4 linked regions of the Schizosaccharomyces pombe genome follow. Changing the gene in region 4 together with the main gene of any one other region gives a genetic interaction. Each region holds a gene or a part of one and is shown on either strand. Other genes may lie near its edges.

The links.
Region 1: mutations in sfp1 (region 4) and pfd4 together harm fitness less than expected from each alone (positive genetic interaction), as found in Schizosaccharomyces pombe (one large-scale study listed by BioGRID).
Region 2: mutations in sfp1 (region 4) and are2 together harm fitness more than expected from each alone (negative genetic interaction), as found in Schizosaccharomyces pombe (one large-scale study listed by BioGRID).
Region 3: mutations in sfp1 (region 4) and ath1 together harm fitness less than expected from each alone (positive genetic interaction), as found in Schizosaccharomyces pombe (one large-scale study listed by BioGRID).

Annotation. Positions count from the first base shown.
Region 1 is NC_003424.3:503,718-507,528, forward strand, and holds pfd4 (prefoldin subunit 4), read left to right. Parts: upstream 1-2,191; 5' UTR 2,192-2,266; coding exon 2,267-2,638; downstream 2,639-3,811. Other genes in the region: yea6 (NAD+ transporter), read right to left, coding at 1-376; atg10 (autophagy C terminal domain family protein), read left to right, coding at 1,336-1,875; yip5 (Rab GTPase-binding protein), read left to right, coding at 2,826-3,575.
Region 2 is NC_003421.2:2,397,527-2,403,038, reverse strand, and holds are2 (acyl-coA-sterol acyltransferase Are2), read left to right. Parts: upstream 1-2,220; 5' UTR 2,221-2,665; coding exon 2,666-4,084; 3' UTR 4,085-4,700; downstream 4,701-5,512. Other genes in the region: AP-1 adaptor complex gamma subunit Apl4, read right to left, coding at 1-972; protein Pal1, read left to right, coding at 4,891-5,055, 5,302-5,512. UniProt on the Schizosaccharomyces pombe protein: Sterol O-acyltransferase that catalyzes the formation of stery esters.
Region 3 is NC_003423.3:1,664,539-1,670,507, forward strand, and holds ath1 (ataxin-2-like protein), read left to right. Parts: upstream 1-2,421; 5' UTR 2,422-2,520; coding exon 2,521-4,896; 3' UTR 4,897-5,180; downstream 5,181-5,969. Other genes in the region: vacuolar transporter chaperone (VTC) complex, GTPase regulator subunit Nrf1, read left to right, coding at 44-412; SPOM_SPBC21B10.15 (uncharacterized protein), read right to left, coding at 1,084-1,211, 1,325-1,379; SPOM_SPBC21B10.02 (uncharacterized protein), read right to left, coding at 5,181-5,606. UniProt on the Schizosaccharomyces pombe protein: Involved in post-transcriptional regulation of gene expression, probably by association with mkt1.
Region 4 is NC_003424.3:4,431,150-4,437,092, reverse strand, and holds sfp1 (transcription factor Sfp1), read left to right. Parts: upstream 1-2,579; 5' UTR 2,580-3,460; coding exon 3,461-4,789; 3' UTR 4,790-5,224; downstream 5,225-5,943. Other genes in the region: SPOM_SPAC9E9.02 (uncharacterized protein), read left to right, coding at 1,180-1,476; SPOM_SPAC9E9.01 (uncharacterized protein), read right to left, coding at 1,892-2,154, 2,196-2,232; tRNA dihydrouridine synthase Dus3, read right to left, coding at 5,508-5,943.

The sequences.
Region 1 (3,811 bases), 3.9 Mb from region 4:
CAGAACTATCTAAGGAAGCCTTGATGCCAACCTTGGACGAATCAATTTCGTGGAGAGAAGTGTATTTTTTATTTACCCCAAATAGCACTTTGCATTTTTCATAGACTACAAAATAAATGGACCAACTAGGAAGATAACCTAACATCATGGGTCCAACACCTCTATAAAGACCGGCGATGCCTTCATTGTGAAAAATTGTTCGCATCGAACTGAGGGTCCCACCCAAAACCATTGTATTTTTTCCACCACCAGTTGAATAAAAAGCCTTTTGTGCCTGCTTTCTTGTTTTTACTACATCTAAAGGTGCCACTACAAGAGAAGAGGCCAATCCAGCAGCTCCTCCTGCTATAGCATCCTTTAGAGAATCATCAACCATAAAGACGGATCAATTTCCTGATGATAATGCATGCATCTAAAGAAAACAGCAATTAAATAATAGACCTTGACAAATTCTTTACTTTTTTAGACGCTGATAAGAACGATCCAACGCCTTACGATGTTTCAAATTGGAAATGTATATATATTTTAGCGTTGATGTAAGAAGCTGTACAACAACATATATGTAAGTAAAGTGTTTGGCAGCCGTCAATAAGAAAGTCGAATCACTGTGCGGTAAACCACATTAACGACATGAATGTCTCCGAATTACTAATTGAGAGGACGTTCCATGCCCTTAAAAGAGAATTTCTTTTATATGTGCATATCAGATATGATTAAAGTCGTAATGCCCATTAACAATATATAATGGTGACATTGATGTTGCTAACAGCTTTACACACATATCTCAATTTTACTTCACAGATCAGTTGGCTTTATAAGCACCATTGGAACAGTGCTTTTGCTTTTGCTTTTGCTCGTATAAGTATTAAGAGGAAATTACTAATATAAAACCTTAGTTTTTCATTTTTTTCCAAGTCCAAACATATTGTTTTTATACATTAGCTTCTCTTGATTACCGCCAATTTCTAGTCGAAAAAATTATTTTTTTAAGAAATCCTACATTTGCTGAGAAGAAATGTTGAAAACGTAGTAACTACACAGTGTACCACTATATTGTTGGATAACTTTGTAAACTCCAACGTACTGTTTTGTCATACTCTTATTGTCAACTTTAGAAGCAAGATGTAGAATTAATATACTTGTAAATAACTGAAACACCATTTTTGTCGAGACTTAACTTCAAATATATTGACAGGTGATTGCCTCTATTGCCCTCATTGGAATAGTGCGTTGAACAATCAGACTGTAGCCAGGCTTATGGGACAATAATTCCTTCTTCAATTACTTATTGCTTTAGCAAAGATAAAGTGATTAAATTGGCTAACCGTGACAATAATGAGCTTTAAGTCTCAATTACTTATCCTTGCTCAGAAGCTGTCGAAAGGTGGTATTTCTTGTGAGTTGATTGAGTTTGATGAGTGTATTTTGAAGTTAGAATGGCATACTGAGCTACTTGATAAAAATGATTCCTTATTATACGAGCAGGAAGAAGATGATATTTTAAGCCTTATGAATCCAATGATCACTATGCACGCCTGGATTAGGGATTCTCCATCCTTCGAAGTCCCGCAGTTCTTCTTTCAACCTTATGCAAACGGATCAGATCCTCTTACCAAGATGGAACAGATTTTTGAGTTATTAGAAGGATCCAGTCAAAATTTAGCATATGACGCTCTTGCTATTGGGGACTGTCCAGGTACAGTAGGCATAGCATGGTATATCCATCCATGTCGTACGCGTGATTATTTCGAAATGCTTCAGATAGACAAAGAGGATCCCAAGTATCTCTCTCTTTGGTTGCTATATATTCATCAAGTCCTTTCTCCGCTAACTCAGCCTATAATAAAAGCAGTTGACGATGCCGAAAAATCCTAAAGATAACCTGTTATAAACGGGTATGCTTGCTAAGACTTTGTCTTATTAAATATTATTCCCCATGATTAAAACTAAATTAAAAGTCAATTTAATCCGTATTCTCTGGTTTTAGTTTATAATACCCTGTGAATCTATAGTAAAATTTTGACCTGTTATTTGACAGCAAAAACATTACGGATCTGAAGACCTCAATTGTAGAAAATAGCTTTTGTTCTTTAAATTTGTAGATAAAATACTATACTAATTAATAATCCTTCTGTTTTGACATATCATTCAACTGTTCCACTTAAACCTCTACTTGACCGCATTGATCTCTACACCAACAATTGTTTGTTAAGACAAACGAAACCGGGTTATATACTATTCCTCCTAACACACCTTAGCAACAAATATGGAACAAGTTCCTGTTCTAGCAGAAGATCAAAGGAATTTAAATGAATTTTCAGTGTTGCATTCTCGAAAGGCCATTCAAGAACTTGATATTAAGAATTTAAAAACGCAAATAGAGGATATTGTTGACGCTAAAAATGAATGTGAATTACTAGACGAGGATGATGGAGACGATATTCCAGCTTTAAAGGTTGGCGATGCCTTTTTCCAAGTTTCCCTTCCTGTACTCCTTGACCAGCTTGAGCAGTCAGAAGAAAGTTTGGAAAAGCAAGTCGACGTATTAAGATCTTCCATGGAAAAAGACGAAACCCGCATTCAAGAGTTGAAATCAATGCTGTACTCTAAATTTCACGATCAAATTAACCTAGACTAAGATTTGGAAAAAGCAGCAAATCTCAAAATTAGAAGCTTCATCTTATTTTTCTGAATTAGTTTCTTTAATTAAATAACATTTCATGCATTTAAATTTATTCACAATACCAAATCTGTATGCAATTAGCGCCTCCAATAAGTAAACTTCTTTGTTCACCCTAAGCCATTACAAGTATCCAACCACCACTATGGCACATGAGATTGAAATTGACTCGGAAGCTGACCTAGGTCGTACAACATTTGAGGCTGAAGACCTTTATAAGCAGAGAACTCCCATTACAAAGCCTCCGGCCCCTAGATTACAATCTCGTCGCGCATCCATGCAAGAGACGCCATGGACCATCAAAGATTCATTTAACGTGGAAACTAAAGATGTGGTTCAACGATGTATACATACTCTTATTCCCACTGTAAATTTCTTTGATGTTGTAGATGATCGTCCCGATTTATACGGTCCTTTTTGGATAACCACTACGGTTATACAGGCTCTATTCTTTTCCAACTCAATTACCGAATACGCTCGTTATGCCACAGGGCATGGTACAAGTGGCTATTCTATAAAAAAGTTGATCTCTGCAGCATCAATTATTTATGGTTACACTACCATTATCGCCGTTTTGTTATGGGGTATCCTAGTGTGGAACAAATGCAACCCTAAGTTACTCGACTGTCTGTGTTTATATGGATATGCTAACATTGTTTGGCTTCCCGTTTCTTTAGCAACTCCTCCGTTTGGATTGCTATCTACTTTGGCCTCCCATATTGTCAAATATGTACTTACAGGGATTGGTTTGTTAATTTCCATTGTGTTTTTAACTAGAAATTTATATCCTATCTGTCAGCAAGCCGGATCAAATTTGTGCAAACTTTTATTGTTCGGAATTATCGTCTTTCACTGTTTGCTCGCTTTGTCTCTTCAACTCATATTCTTCAGTTAATATCCTAATTTGTGAGGAGTTTCTTTTATCAGTCGCATTGCTTCATTCGAAAATTATACTATTCCCCTTCTTTCATTCTTTAGAAAAGTCATTCAGCATTTAAGATCCTATTGAGTCTAAGTGTTGGTATACTCTATATGATTCAGTTTATACATATATTCGCTTTACATTTGATTTTCTACTCTTTTTACTATAGCTACTAATGTTCCCTCAATTTACTAGGTTTTTTTTTCAGG
Region 2 (5,512 bases), on a different chromosome or scaffold from region 4:
ACGAGTGTTATTGTCACGATTACCTAAAAACTTTGCTAAAATATTGACCCCCAAAACTCGAAGGCTACTGTCAGAATTAAGATCAAGGATGGTACGCACAGCTTGATAAAGAATAGCATTACCTGCATTTCTAGAGGAATCAGTGTTAGTACAGACTTGAGCTAAAAGATCACTCATTTTGTCGTAAATTTTAGGGTTATTTTGACCAAGTATTGACAAAAACTGAAGGATTTTAACTTGCAAAAACGGATCAGATATATTGCCAATGTTATGCTCAGAGGAGTAAGTACTAGTGGACAATTGACGAATACGATAAATCAAATCGTCAGCTTGACTTTCAAATCGGGATATTAGCGACGGATTTATTTTGCAAGCACTGATGGCAAAAGCAAGAGCAGCCATTAAAACACCATGACTTTTTGAATGTAACAATTCATCGGTTTTCTCAATATATAAACTTTCCAAATCCGGTTCTTTTTGAATTACTCTAAGTGCACAGAGAACAGCCTTCTTTGATATATAATTATGATGGTTAGAGCAAAGTTCGGCTATGTCGTTTGACAAATCCCTTGCAAGCTCAGGGCCAGCGACATTACCAAACGCAGATAATGCCAACCCCACAATAAATTTGTCTCTAGATTTCAAGTCATTTTGAAGAGAATTTGTCAATAACGTCAAAACTTCCTGGTTCTCGTCTAACAGAAGCATAGCTGCTAGGTATCCCAAACGTTTATCCATGAATCGCGAACTCGACAACAATTTTAAACATTCAATCTGACCAAAGTGTGTCGGCTCACCGAGTAGAAATAAATATAGCAGCTTGGCAACATTTTTTCTGCGCATACGCATGTCATTAGAACCTTGACGAATGTTTTTTCTGATTTGAGCCGACTCTTTGAGAATCGTTGTGTGCTCCTCAGCAGTCGTTTTGGATGCCCGAACAGCCTTTATAAAAGATTTTAAACTTGACATCTTTGGATGCGTCTTTGGGGAATTGGTGAAACCTCTTTCCACTCCCGAACAAGTAAGATGCAGGTTCTTTGGATGTGTTGTTTGCATTACTTGGCTGTTGCTTGTACATGCGGTAGGGTATTGCACGGTAAATTTCTTTAAAACGAATTTAACGTTGCGACTCTTTCGTCAATCTATCAATAATGAATACTAAAAAATATGCTTTAAATAAAATAAATTTTAATTTGTTTTGTTGCTGCTGTGTTACGTTAAGTCAGCTGAAGTGTCTTTTTTTATAATTCCTAGTTTTTATTAAGCAGATGTAAATACCATTTATATTGATTAACTTAATATTATGTTACCACTTATTGCAAGTACATTTAAGAAGGTGTACTATGGCTAAGAGTTGAATATTTTTTAGGTATGGTTTTTGTGCTTTTCAGTAATCATATTACGTTTAATACACATTCCCTTATTAGAGGTTCTTAATAAAATCCATGTGCAATACTAAAGTTATCTTTCCATCCGTACCAATATTCACTGAGATATTTTACGTTCCTACTATAATTGATTCCAGTAAATATTAACTTGCATTTCTATGAGATGTATTGAAAGCAAACAGAAAAACGCAATCTAAACACAGAATATATAAAACAATGAAAATCAAATCAATTTCACTTAACAAAATAGGATGCAGCTTTAAACGACGCTCAAAACTGATGCATTCACCAATACTGCACAAATTAAAAGAATACCTAGCTTCCTTTGGTTATCTGTGTAATTTTTGAATTATCCTATCGAATTTGCTATATGGAGTTGTTAATTGATGGGCAATATCTGGAATTTATGTTTCTCTATTCGTTCTTGACCACGCTATGTGGCTTTGCTTCTTAACTATGCAGTTTGTAACCAGTTTTAATGGCACGTTAAATCACAGTGAGTTGTATTTGTGCACTACTATATTGCGATATGCAGGTAACGCGAAAATCGGGTATTAAGGTGTTATTGTAAATTATTATTGAAATGCTCATAATATGTAAACTAAGGGAAAAAGGTTCGATTGAGCATTCTTTTTTGTTTGTACCTGTCAGTCATTTGGTAATAAGCTACAATAAGCAAGTGCCAATGTCGTATCACATATAGCGGATAAATGAATAGGACATGTGATATATAGTGATACGTAACGAAATTTTACATAACGTGGTGTAGTATTGCAGATATTGCTGAGATCAGGTGGTTCATCGTCTTAGCTCGCAATTCTAACTTATCAACTCCTTTGCTCATTTTGAAACTGGAGACTTGGCTTTTCCTTACATAAATCGCATAGAACGTGAATTGCTTAGGAGTTCGAGCTTTTTATTTACTTCCATTCTATAGTGGAACATTTGGCATAGAATTTTTATTTTTGGAATCACGACTGTGGAGTTTTCGTCATACCAGTTCTGTCATCTTGAAATTCCAAGTTGGAACTTCCATCAATAGATTACATTTCTAAGTTTCTTGCTTTCATTCCTCAATTTTTTATTTAGAAGCGAAGCAAAAAATAAATTTAATCTTCCTACGTTCATATCCGCTTCTTTTTCAATTTCTTTGATACTGTTCGCGATACGTAGCTGCTGATTTTACGTTATTTTTTTGTTTTATCTTTTTCTTTATATATTTATCTTTTTTGTTATATATTCACTTAGTTGCTTTAATTGCTGGTTATTTAAAGATGATTGCTGCAACACCCGCTAAATCCAAACCATCGGATGTCAACTTGGAACAGACGTTCAAAGGTGTTTCTGAAACCTCAAAAATTGACCTTCGAAGGTCTAGGGCCGCTTACCGACCTCTGGAATTATCTCCTACTCCCTCGATTTTTGCTCGTAATTATCAACGTAATGCGGTAGACTTTACTGGATTTTTTGTGTTATTTTGGGTTGCTGTCTCTATTATGATTTTCATGAGCTTTTTAGAAAATTTCGAATTGACTGGAAGACCAGTTGTTGGCACTATTTTTAAATACTTTCAGTCTAATTTGTTAGATCTGGCAAAGGCAGACCTTGCTATGTCTTCAATGTTTCTACTTGCTTTTCCTTTCCAAAAGATTTTTGCTTTGGGATATCTGCGGTGGTATGGTTTAGGCGTTTACCTCTATTCCATTCTTATTTTACTTTTTTTAAGCCATTGTGTTTTACGCTGCTGTCTTAGCAACTGGTCCTGGACGCATCGTGCTATGTTTATTCTTCATTCTATGGTAATCCTTATGAAGCTTCATTCCTATAACGTTGTCAACGGTTGGTATTCTTATTGTTATCATTCGTTAAATAAGCTTCAGTCAAAAAAAACCGATCTTGATGATGATGAACGATCCTCAGTTGAGTTTTATGAACATTGTCTCAACCATCATGGTAATACTTATCCGGAAAATTTAACCATACCAAATGCTTTGGATTTCCTTTTCATGCCCAGCTTATGTTATCAATTATACTACCCAAGAACCGCCCATGTGCGAATTCATTATTTGATTGAATGCGCTTTGGGAACGTTTGGTTGTATCTTTCTTTTGGTCATTATTTCTGATCATTTCATGGTTCCTGTACTTGCTAAAGCCATTCGAACCATTATTGAAGCTCCTGAAGACGCATCTGCTACTTATTTTGCTATACGTTTAGGCCATACTGTAGCATTTTTGATGTTCCCATTTATGCTTAGCTTCCTCCTCGTGTTCTGGGTCATTTTTGAAGGAGTTTGTAATTTCAGCGCAGAGATTACTAGATTTGCCGATAGAAACTTTTATGATGATTGGTGGAATTGCTGGACTTGGGATCAATTTGCCCGAACCTGGAATAAGCCCGTTCATTACTTTCTCCTTCGCCACGTTTATGTTCCCCTCAACTCTTTCATGTCAAAGTCTTTATCGACTTTTTTCACGTTCTTTGTCTCCTCTGTATTACATGAACTTGTTATGGGATGTATCACTTTAAAAATCCGCGGTTACGGTTTGTTTTTTCAAATGACTCAAATCCCGTATATCATTATTCAGCGACAGAAGTTTGTTCGAAGACATAGACTGCTGGGAAATATTGCGTTTTGGTTTTCTATCATAATTGGTATCGCTCTTATTGCAGCTCTTTATATCTTATTTTAGAAGCGATAGGGGTCTCCATTATGAATAATTACCTCTTAGATTTTTTTTACAATGCGTTATTTTTTCTAGTGACTATTTCTATCTTTGACACTTTTTGTGGCTCATTTCATCTGCCCAATAAGGGCTCCTTTATGACATTTTATGAATTGTTTTGTAATGCAAGTAGGAAATGCCATTTCTATTTGAACACGTCAAAAGGCTGCAGAGTAATTTTGGTAAAACTTAGTTTTTGTGCCTCTGTGGAACTTCCGTTTCATTTTGTGTCGGTTCATTTGCTTGTTTATGATAAAATGGAATCCTGATTAAATTAACGAATTAAAGAAATGGGTTTAAAACATTTTTTTCGTTGAAAATTATGTTAACCGATTTGTTGTTTACTTAAGATTTTTAACATTCACAGATGTTCGTTTAATTTTTAGCCAGATGATTGCTTTGATTAATAAGTTTCCTCATCTCGTATTTTCATTAACATAACCATCACTGTTATTAATCGAATTAATGTGTCTAATCGTCAGTGGTTAGGATATTCGATTTATTCAGTTTTCCCATTCTTAATAAATGTACTTTTCTGTCTTGCACAATAAAATTATTATAGCAAGAAACCTAGATAACGCAACCCAATGTGCAATAGCACTGTACAGTAAATTGCCTATAAGCAGGGGTAGATATTTTTACCACTGGAATCCCAACTCACCAAGAACCCATATCTTGTAGTTCGAAGTTTGATTCGGAAAAACCTCTTGTGTATTTCAAGGTGCTCTTTCTCAAAACGAAATCGCAAGGGTATCGTTTGGGTGCAATACGGGATGATGGTAATAGAGAACCCTTTTTTAAGTACTGCTACAAGCAGTCAGACACCTCAAGAGGATGGCGTGTACACGTCTTCCCTGCACAACAGTAACAATCCTTTTTTAGCTCCCAAGACAGAGCGTGTGGCTGATCCGGTCATGGAATCTATGGCAGATGACTTGGTATGTAAATTTTTGAGGCTGAAGTAGATATAATTCGGTCATTGCTTCGTTACGTGAAGATTTGTTAAATTTATTGAAACCTTTCCAAATTAGTGTTCTATTAAGAGTTTTTAAGTTTCTAATTTAAAGCGCTCATAACGTACATTTTATTTAGACAAGGAGTTTCTTCGGTTTGCAATGAAGTTGAGCCGAAAATCGAGCACAGCTTTCAATTTTAATATGTTTCAAAAACTAACATTTTACCAGTTTAATAGTATTCAAAAGAAGAAGGAGCCATCTCCTGCTTCCTCTGCTTCAGCAAGTCCCGTTAAAAAATCTGCGGAGGCATTAGCCGAACGATCTAACAGTTCGATGGGCACTTTTGACCCCCCTCCAAGATATTCGAAAATTGCTAGAGCTCGTAGTACTCATGTTGCCAGCTCTAGTCGCCATCGTTCTCCATCGCATAACGACAGTT
Region 3 (5,969 bases), on a different chromosome or scaffold from region 4:
GGAGAAAAAACCTTCGATTTATAGCTCACTCTTTCCACTAACAATGTCTACTCAACCTCTTTTACAAACTACTCCTGGTAAAAGAATTGCTCTTCCTGTTCGTGTTGAACCTAAAGTTTTTTTCGCTAATGAACGTACTTTCCTTTCTTGGTTGAGCTTTGCAGTAGTTTTGGGTGGTTTGTCAGTTGGTTTACTTAACTTTGGTGATCGAATTGGTAAGATTAGTGCAGGACTTTTCACTATTGTTGCTATTGGTACCATGGGTTATGCTCTTGGTATTTACCACTGGAGAGCATCTGCTATTCGACGACGCGGAAGTGGTCCTTACGATGATCGATTGGGACCTACCATTCTCTGCTTTGTTTTGTTGGCAGCTATTATAACCAACTTTGTTCTTCGTATGTTATTTTGAAAGGATTAAGTCCATTTTTTGGAGATTTTTTCGCGATATTTCAGCCTTATCGTCTGAGCATAACTTCACAAATATGAAAATGAGGATTCCTTACTCTCCATTCCAAGTTTTTAAGCTTAGTGTTTGATAGGCTTAAGTTCTTTTAAACATATATTTTAGATTATCAATTTATTTAGTTTCCTCGTAACATGTAAAGTTTTTACATTATCTGACAATCTTTATTGAAGGCTGCAAAGATGAAAGGCCCTGGAAACGTTATGACACTGAATTGAAAGATTATTTTTTTAATGCCTGGAAAGTGATTTTTTTTTTCAGTAGGTCGTTACGGAACCCCCCTTATCATTTATCTGTTGTTTCCTTACATTTGTTTTGCTTCCTTGAGCGTCGCTTGTTAACGCAGGAGGAGAGAAATACTAGTTTATTATTTATAACTTATTCTACATATTGTTGGATTAATATGTCTCGCTTTGTTATATAATGGCTCCGGTTTAAGGCTTTATTTTATTTTATTTTATTTTAATTTTTAATTACTCAGCGTTTTTATTATATAGTGTTATTTTTGGGATTGCCGGAATTACTACATGGACTAGGAGGTTATTTTATTTAATATCTTTGCATCGCTGTCTGTGGACAGCTTTGACATTGGCGTCGAAATTATAGTAAATATTTCATTATTTGTTTTCTTTTGAAGATTTTGCATTTTCAAGCTGTTTCGCCTGTTCTTGCTTATACAATTTAAAGTACTCTCTTTTTTTATTATTTAAATCGTTTTTAAGCACTAGAAATGATATAGGGCCGACTGCGTGAGTTAGTGAAAAAAGCAATTATAGACAAAAATATATATATTAATTTATTCTCTTAAAGAACTTTGAAACCTGAATTACTTCAGTTTTATAGTATCAATAAACATACCAGTAATGAATATTCCAAAAAATGTGAGTAGTTGTCCTTTTAAGCTCATACCCATCGTGAAAAATTAAATTGTAGGATTCAAATACTGAAAGGTTATAATGCTTGCAATAAAATAGCTTTGAAAGGACGAAACCAAAACTTTCGACGTTTAATTGGGTTATTTGCTCACGAAGCCGGTTCAAGTGATATCTTCTTTTTGCAGCCCGATGTTAACTTCTGAAGTGTTAATAGTTAATGGTCACTAAGGTATCGTTATAATATGAAACAAAAACTGCAGTGTCTTGGAAAGAGAGTGGTTTAAAGGGGCTATAGAATTCTGATAGAACAAATTCAGAAGTTTAAACAAATATTGGTGTAAATGGGATTTTTAACTTATAAAATCTCGTAGTGTCCTTGGTTGTCTATTTTGACGTAAAATATGTGCCAGTTTTCAAGCCTTTTATTCTTAGTATACTAATCATTTGCAAATGAAAAGTGTTTTTTGTAAAGCATGTAAGCCGATAACCCTTGATTAAGGCCAATCTAAACTTTCCAAGCTACAAAGAATAAGTTTTTTTTGCGGTTGTAGGTTGCTTTTGAATCAATTAATGTCTAAAGTTTACTCAATTAAGAATTGCCTGTTCACTTTAACGGAATTTCCGTATTATGTATTGACCTTTGTCTTATTGTATTGTAGAATAAGTCATCCAGACATAGTACATGAATTGTAAAGCCATACATTGCTACATAAACTACAGCTTAATTCAAAAAATTGCATCTGTTATCGTAAAAAAAGCAAATAAAGCGTTTTGAATCAGTAAATTATCAACAGTACAATTGCTAATTTATCAATACATTCTGCGAAGAAAATAGAGTATGACCGCATTTGCCACCTGCAGCCTTTGGGTGGTTAGTGCTCTGCAAAGTAACTGAATCTATATGAAAAAAAAAGGTACGAACCTGAAAATATATTATGCTACGACTTTGAAATTTAAAATTAAAAAAATTCAATTATTAGGAATGGTAGCATTCATTTGATTTCCTCTATGGTGTAAGCCTGGTGTCATGCGCCATTCGCCCAGTTACCTAAAGGTTACACTTCACTTTTAGTTGCTTCTACCTCCAACCTCCACGGAATTACTCAAATTTCAGTTGGGCACTGGGAGGTTGCAAATCGAGAAATTGCAAGAGTATCTGAGGACACTCAAGTAATTCTGATGGCAACCCGTTCTGTCAGCATGAAACAGACCTCGCAACGCGCTGCCAGCCCTAATAAAACTCAGGGTGCCAAAAAATGGTCAGCAGTTGCTGCTAGAGGAAGCAAAATTGCTCAGTCTGCTACGAATGATCATCGTAATGTAGAATCTATTAAAGTAGTACCTGAAAATAGAGTCAGAGGGGGAGTTGCTGCTAAAGCCACCGACTCATCTTCCAACGTTACCTCGTTGGCCTCTTCCGAGGAAAATGTTTCGAGTGTTTCTGGTTCTGCGAAATCAAATAATTCTCAGCAAAGAGTTTGGAAAACAGATGTAGCTATTTCAGCAGAAAAGCGCACTGAAACTCGTCAACGAGAACTCCGTCGCTGGATGCCAGATCCGGAAGATGCAGGTGTTCCTCTAGCTGGTTTAGAGGAGTCTACTGATAATGTTGAATGGGATCAATTTGCTACAAATGAAAAACTTTTCGGTGTGAAATCTCATTTTGATGAAGATTTGTATACTTCTCGTATCGATCGAAGTCATCCAAAATACAAAGAGAAAGAGCAAGAAGCTGATCGTATAGCGAAAGAAATTGAAGGTACCGTAACCAACAACATTCATATTGCTGAAGAGCGTGGTCTTAAAGTTGATGATAGTGGACTTGATGAAGAGGACCTTTATTCTGGCGTTCATCGTTCTATCGATGTTGTTAGGAACTACACCCGCAGTAATGCGTACAACAAGAACAACAAAGATCAAAAACCTAAGAACCATGAAGCCCCTCATCAACATCCACAGCAGAAAGTAGTTCCTCCTGATGATCCAGCAATTGTGTCTCACCGTCACCTTGCTTTGCCTCGCGCACCTGGTCCAGATTCTCGAGCAGCTGAAAGGTTTTTCAACGCCCGCCGTAAGGCTGGTCCTCTCTCCAGACGTGAAAAGGAAGGACAGATTAAAGAGTTTATGCAGTTTAGCCAATCTTTAAAAATAGGTTCGCTGGATTCCAAACAACCTTCTTCTACGAAATCTGTTGCTGAAGTTAAAGTGGCTGATGAAAAACAGCTTCCTGATGCTTCCAGCCAGGCAACTCCGGCGGATTCGAAAGAACCACGAAAGGAGGAAGCTGAAAAACCAGTTACATCTGCTACGGAGGTGTCTTCCGAAAAGGTTGAAAAGGTTGATGGAAATACATCTTCTCCTTCAAAAGAAGAGGAAAAACCATCAACTGAACCCGAAAAGCCCTCTGTTGTTACACAGAGAAAGGAAACCACAGGTACAAAGCTGGGCACGAAGTTGAATGCTAAGGCTATATCTTTTAAGCCGAATGTAGCTGCTCCTGTGTTTACACCTGGTAAATTTACTATCCCCAGTAAACCCGCACCTGTTAATGCTTCACGTCCGATGATGCCTCAGCAGTCCAACAACAGTGAAGCTTCGATTCCTTCAACCACACCACAATCACCTTCAGTGGTTTCCAATGGTGAAAACAAACCTTCTTCCTCTCCTGTTTTCTTCAACGGTCCTGTTTCATCGGAGAAGGAACCCATCTTAGATAACTTTAATGTTTTTAAAAACGTTGGAGAAGAACACCAAGGAGCGGAGCAGATTGATAAGCCTTTTTCATGTCCCCCGACTTGGAACACGGGACCCAACTCCCTACAGCAAACCATTGCAAATTCAAGACCTGAAGGAAATTCTGGTTCTGCAAAGAAGGCAGCAGCTGCGAATCCCATGATTCCTAGTATTGTTTTACCCAATAGTGCTATGCCTTCTGCAATGCCAATGTATCCTACTCCTACAATGCCATATATACCAGTGGGATATCCTGTGCCGGGCTATACTCCTTACATGAGAAACCCTAGTCAGCATACCTCTGTAGCTCCTTCACCTAACGGAACACCGACTTCTGGAAATTCTAGCACAGTAGGTTCGCCAATGATAGGCTACATGGCTCCCCAATTCATTCCGCCTTACGCAATGCCACAGTTTCCTCCTTCTGGTAACGGTAGGGGCGCTTCAGCTCCTGCAACTTATTTTGTTCCCCAAATGGGAGGCATGATGGCATACACAATGAATGGCGTTCCTCCTATGTATGGCCAGTATGCTCCTAATAATGGCATGATGAATATGCATTATCCTATGTATGGTGATTCAAGAAGGAGCAATTCTCAACGATCTTTCAATTCATCTAACGGGAAGCGATCGAATGTACATAAGAATAACAACGCTTCTAACACCTTCTCTCATTCTAATGCCTCTACTTCCTCGTCTCTTAATGCTGCTCCTAATACAACTGCAAAGTCTTCATCTCAAACGGCGCCTCCCGTTTCTAAAGGTGATGCTACAGAGAAAACAGAGAAAGATGCATCAGCTAACCAAGAAGCGAAGCCTTAATTTGTTTATATTTAAGGTTGACTTGAAGACCATGTAATATCTAAATCGCAAATCTTGTATGGATGTATGAATATTCTATGAGATGAAATGAAGGCGGTAAGAATCATGATTTTGTGAGTTGGTTTAGTTGGTTGTTTCAATTCAAGTGCTGAACTTACATTTGAGAAGTTACAACTTATTCTTTTTCGATTACATTAACCTATGATAATAAAACTTACGACTTAAAGAAACATTTATTGAATGCGGATTGTTAGTCTTCTGCTATAAAAAAAAACATTAGCCAGTTAAGTATATATGCCTACCGTAGCAACTCCAAACCACTTATTGTCATTCAAATGGGCAAGTACATAATATACAGTTTTAGTAGATGATTCTTCATAAGAAAAGTAATGGATGTCCTTTGACCCACTTGATTGCTCAATTGCATGAATTACTTTTTTGTACTTCTGATGGGGATCAAAGGTCTTTGCATCAATCTCTTCAAATTCGTCAGGGATATTGTCAATGCATATTGGGTGAAATTTTTCATCTGATTCACTGACAAAGTATTCATCCTTAACTTTCCCAGCTAAAGTTTTAAATGAGGGATCCTCCAACATATTCTTTGAGCTTCTCAGCCATTTTGAAGGAAGTTGGGAAGAGTCGCCCGAATAAGAAGGAACAGGTTTGTTAGCTGTTTCCAGAAATGCTGCATAAGCTTCGTCTGACATTTTGTGAGAAGAACGAACAAGTGTAGGCAAAGCCGTGTGTCGTACAACGAATCGAGGCAAATGCCTATTGATAAACAATCTTCTAACTGTGAATCCTATTTTGTATAATTATTTAATATATAATTAAAAAACAAAAATATGTTAAAGAATAAGTGTTAATCAACTTTAGGTCAACGTCAGCGAAACCAATCTTCGAGCAAATATAACGAAAAACACGTTATGTAAATTACCGTAACTCAAAGAATCCAATATATACTAAACGATGCATAATGTGTAGTTTACAACTGTTTTAAACTTATGTATCGCAACGCGTTTAGCAAATTTAACTGAAAATTAACTATCTTCCAAATGAAGATTTTATGA
Region 4 (5,943 bases):
CAAATAATACCCAATTCAACCCCTCTCCCGAAAACATCCAATTTGAGTAGATGATATACGTAAAAGGCATTTGAAGCCGTTAGTTAATTCAGAAACATTGAATTGTGTGTACAACGTTAGAAGAGATGATTGATTAAGTTTATGAAATAATACTTGCTCCAAACCTTGGTCAATGTACCACGTTATAATACGAAACGTTCCCTTAAACGTCACATTACTTCCATGTATGCGCTTCCGAATTCCCTTCCATTTGACTACGTCAAACAACACTGATTCTCTAAAATGAGTGTCCATTTTTTGACGATCGGGACGGCAGATCGTTTTTGTACATTGTGTGTAGGCGGGCAAAGCTTCGAAACTTGGACTAAACGATTGTTATTACCGGTACTGTTAAGTTACGTAAATTGTTGGTCAGGTAAACGGTTTGTACTAGACGGATGGAATTTGGAAAAGTTGGATAAAACACGGCAATGTTGATTATTTTAACGGTGTTTTGCGATACAGTCTTGCAATTCTTATTTGTCATAATAGATGCATAGCAATTGGCTCAATTTCAATTTCAATTTTACTTATTTTTTTTTTCTTTAAAGAATACCTTCGGGAATTGGTTGCGTATAGGAAGAATTGAATCTGTCTCACTTGAATTGTATGCGACAATGTCGTTTTGATGTTGTTGACCCATACTCTCTTGACACTTGTTTACTAATGTCATTTTTTCATTTTTTTCTCATAGACGATAGATTACTCCTTGGGATGTATGAATTTCTTTATCGTTTTCTTCAATTATTAATCCTATCAAATTGTCTGTAGTTTTTCATTCATGAACCAAGTCAGAATCACTTTTATCTTGGTCCTTGTTCATATCCCTTCGCTTGCCATAGCGCCAGCGCCCTTGACATCATGGTAGAGTGTGTTTGATATAGAAGCATCATAAACTATCCAATGGCCAGAACCCTAGAAGATTGCTGAGAAATGTAATTAAAACGTTGTAAATTCATTGCCTTTGGTATTGAGTGTGATGCCTGCGAATTTCATCTTTTCAACTACTGACCTAAGTGTGGTGGATATGTGGACAAATGATGGGATTGTTAAATAATGAAAATGATGCTTAAGAGTTTCTGGAAGAAAACGAAGAATTGATAGATTGGACATTTGACGTTGACTTTCCATTTCTATATAATGGATGTGGATTTCGCTAATGCCAAACACAAACTGCATTGTTTATTAAAAAAAAATTTCCTCTTAACGATTCGATTCAGTTCATTGGTTTCAATACAATACATCCCATTCTCCAATCGTTTGTATGAAATCATCAGTATTGCTCTAAATCCTTGCAATTTTTCTAAAAGTCTTTTTTGGTTACGAAAAAAAATAAAAAACTCCGTTCTGTTAAAAACTTCCTTTGATTCTAACGAAACAATTTTTTTTTTATATTCTCTTCATCGTTGTGTGTATTATCTTTTCATTTATCTGTGATAATACCGATTCTTTATTTATTTATTTACTTAGTTATATACTTGTTATTCCATTCTGTTCCTTTGTTAGTTACTGATCTTCACCTTACTTTCAATCATTTTCTTTTGGGTTGTTGTAAGGTTTATATATTTGGTTTATCTTGTACGATAGTTTGTTTTTTTCTTCATTCGCAAGCTATTCTATCTAGATATTTTTTTAGCTCCATTTCCTATAAGCTTTAGTTTTTCTTTTCCCTTTTCCCGTCTAATTTTTTCTTGTAAAATCGCTAGACGTCCATTTTCATTTTCTTGTTTGCTTGTCTTTTTACATCTCTTCCAAAAATATCCGTCTTCTCTTTACTAGCACAAAGAAGAGAAATATCCTTCCTCCATTTCAATTAAACGACGATATTTCTTTCATTTCATAGTCGTTTACTTTACCAATTAACCCTTGAAAGGACATTGTATCTCGCAAATTCCTTGAGTTTGCTTTCCCGGTAAATTTGGTATAACCGACAACGATCTTCATTGTCTGCCTCCATCCATTCCCCATTAGCTGCTTCACAACGTGACCAGACTGCGAACCCTGCCTCAAGTTTGATTACCGAACCAACATTTGAATCGCTAAACGTTTTTAGCCGCTTCGATTTTCCGAGAAACACATAAACAAAGATTGTGTGTGTTACTGTACCCGTGTGCACTTGACCGTATATTAGGACACTATAACGCTAAGCTGCGTACCGCTTAATTCTGCACTGAGCTCCAAGCCATCCGCCATCGTTCATTTGCGACCCTTTGTCTAGAAACTATTCGCCCCTTGTCTTCGGCCCCATCTATTGGAAGTAACGACCTTCCGATACGGCACTGACGAAGTTGCATTGTTACCCCTAATTACTTTGATCCAAGTTCGATCCACTCTGTGTACTCTGATTGGCTTTCTTATATTTAAGGGCCCCTCATTAGGTGTTTAAGTCTGAAAGCTTCACTGTTATTCGCTCGCATAGTCGGCGTCACTGTTACTTGACCCTTTTATCCTTGTTACCTTTATACATACGTAACGAGAAGGCTTGCTAAATCACCTTATCAATTACTACTTAAACACCGTCCTACCCTTCTTAACGCCTTATTCTGACTAACTTCAACGTGAGGACGACACGAAGGAAGCAGAAGCAAATATACTTACTTAACTTAAGGGAGTTAGTACAATCATAGAATTGTTGTTGAATACCATATATTCAACTTAAAAAAAATTAAACATATTTATAAAAAAAATTCGCTTGCAACATATATTGCGTCCACTAGTTGCCTGCAAAAAAAAGATTACTCTTTTGAAGTATCACCACTCTTTTCGATTGATCTCGATTGTTCATTGAATCAAAGCGTAAATTATTTACTATTTCGCTTTATTTTAAAAAAAAGTCGAATCGAACAGTTTCCTCGACTCGATTCGTTATTACTTGACTTTCTTTGTTGATTAAAAAGGATTCTTTAAAAGGTTTTTACTCCCTTTCTTTTCATCTTATTTATATTATACATTTATCATCCGTTAATCGCCAATTTGTTTAGACTGAAAAAATTAGATAAGTCACTTTGGGGTTTCCACTTAAAACATTACAATACACTAATTACACTTGGGTAATTTAGTGCTTAAAAATAGTTTACCTTCATTTTTTTGCTTGGTAAATTCTTCTTTTAGAAACTTTTTCCTTTTTTTTTCGAATTTATAGTTCGTCGAATTTCATTAGATTTTACATTCAGTCTTTTTTTAATTGCCTTTTTTTACCCCTCTCAGCGCTCTCTAAGAACTTGCCTTCCTTAAGTCGAGTTTTCTAAGTGCATTATTCCCTGATTTCTCAAAAAATAACTTACTAAATTATTTTGTTATTTTTATTCTATTTTTTCATCATTGGTATATAATTTTTAATTTGGTTTCTATTTATCGGTTTATCTTTTAATTTTCTCTTTTATCTCTTTAATTTTATTAATTCCCTTAAAAACTTTTCAATATGCCATCTCTCGCATTGCCTATCAATAAGCCTTCCCATCACAATGTCAACTACAACGGAAATTCCTTTAACAGCATTCATGCTACCTCTTTTGGAATGAGTCCACAGTCTTGGGGAAATAGCTTTAGTGGACAAGCTTGGCTTCGTGATACTATTCCATCTCTTTCTAACGTGGTTGAGTCACAAACGATTCCCGAAGAGGATTCTACCTCTTATCTAAACCGGTTAGAAGAAGCATTTTGCCGTGATTTCCGCTGCTGTGGTCAAACTCTCGAAGATTTGCATCAACTTATTCACCATTATGAAGAGCAGCACGCCGTTCTGGCAACTGATTCTGCTGTTCCTCAAGAATATTCTTTGGATAGCAACAACGCTGCTCAATCTAATCATTCTCATATTCAAGCGCTCAAACAGCGTGAGCGCATCCGTATGCATGATCTTGCTGATCAGCTTGGAACTTCTGAAATTTCTGATAATTCTGCTGTTTTACCATTTGCCTTTCCTGCTAACGGTGGTGCTCCTGGCCCTTACCGCGTTTCCGTTGTCGTACCTGCCGCTGCTGCTGCTGCTGCTGCCGCTGCCAGCTCCGACATGAGCAGTGACGAGGCCAGTAGTCAAGCAGAGACAACTGGTACCCCGAAAAAGATGCCTGAATCATTGGTAATGGATGCAAGCTCCCCTCTCAGTGACATGAGCATGTCTATTGACGTTGGTGAGTCCGCTGCCAATAATGTTTTTGCGTTCAATCAAAAGGACATGGTTGACTCTACATATCTTCCCCCATTCAATTACGATCACGATGTTTTTTCATTTGCTCCATCTGTCGCATCCGCCGATCAATTCACAGAGTCTAGCATGTCTCCTACTCCTGAAGTAGTTTCACCCGCAGCCACAAACTCAGCAATCTCATCCCCATTTGTTAGGAAATCTTCTAGTGATTTGGAAGCTAAGCCATCTAAAAAGCAGCGTTCTACTCCTGCATTCTCACACGATTCACCGCTCACTATTGATTACCCAGGCTCTAACTTGGTGGTTGTAGACAAGCCATACAAATGCCCTGTCCCTAATTGTGATAAGGCTTATAAGAATCAAAATGGTTTGAAGTATCACAAACTTCATGGACACTGTTCCCCCATTACTACTCCAACACCAGCTCCAATTCCTCATCAAGGGTTTGTTGTGGAAAACAAGCCTTATCGCTGTGAAGTTTGTAGTAAAAGATATAAAAACTTAAACGGTTTGAAATATCATCGTACACATAGTCATCTACAAGTGTCTATGGCCCAAGCTCAACGGGAAGTTCAAATGAACTTTATGCGCACCGCATAAATATGCTCTTTTTTGCCTTTGTAATATTTGAACATGAGATTTGTATCTCAGTTTCGTATCTTCAAGTTTGAATACTTTTATGTCTATCTTTGCTTTTAAGTTTGAGAAGGGTAGACATGTTGTGTGGAGTTTGCTTGATGTTTACGGGCTTGCATTTATCTGCATACAACAATCGAATTAGCTGTAAAGTGAACCTGTCTCCTTTGATTCATTCCCGTTAATTTTGCACTTACTTTATTACCTACATGATGGCTGTGTTTGTTTTGTTTGCTTTTTTTTTGTTTTTTAATTTTTTGTTTTGTCATTTTGGGATTCTGGATTTTTAATGGTTTTTATTGTGTATTAAGTTATTTTTGTACCAAATATCCTCTTGCTGTTATTATTATACCTTTTAAGTTAATAAATATGTATGGCAGTGTTATTTACCATATATTTGCTAAGTTATTTCACAACGTAGTTTCGATAGTAATTGTAGAGTACTGTAAGATCGTTGGTTAGTTCCCATTGGGTAAGTTGACTATATAACGTTAGATTCATTACCAATTTGCCTAGTCATTTGCGCATTTTACGAGACAAACACAGATCACTCGTATATAAGTCACCAGATATTTTATTAATCTACTTAATTCAATCCAGATGATAAGCCAGTATTAAGTATGAAAAGTTGATGATGCATATGAAGAAAGTGAATGCTCGATACACTAAGACCATAAGTTGTTTATCCCTCTGCCTCTTCCACACTATTGCTTTTGTGCTTTGGTGTAAAGGTGAATCGCTCAGGAGTAGGACCTAGGAAGAACTCACTCAATTTAACCCAGTCCGTAACTTTATTACTGGCCAAGAGAGTTTCCATCTCATCTCTCGCGGTATATAGAGGCGGTCTATCATTTAATCTGGGCCTTTGAACTTCGTACAAAGCTATAGGTGTATAACGATGGAAAAAGCTCATAAACTCCAAGAAAAATCTCCTAGTCGTATTGACTCCTTGAGAGTCAGAACCCCAATACTCTAAACCATTATTACAGTATTGTTCCAACATTTCGAGTCGTTGAGTTGATGACTTATCAATAAACTGACGAGCTTCAATTTCTTCAAAAATCCATGGCTTAACGAGTGCACCTCGGGCAATCATCACAGTATCAACACCCTTGTTA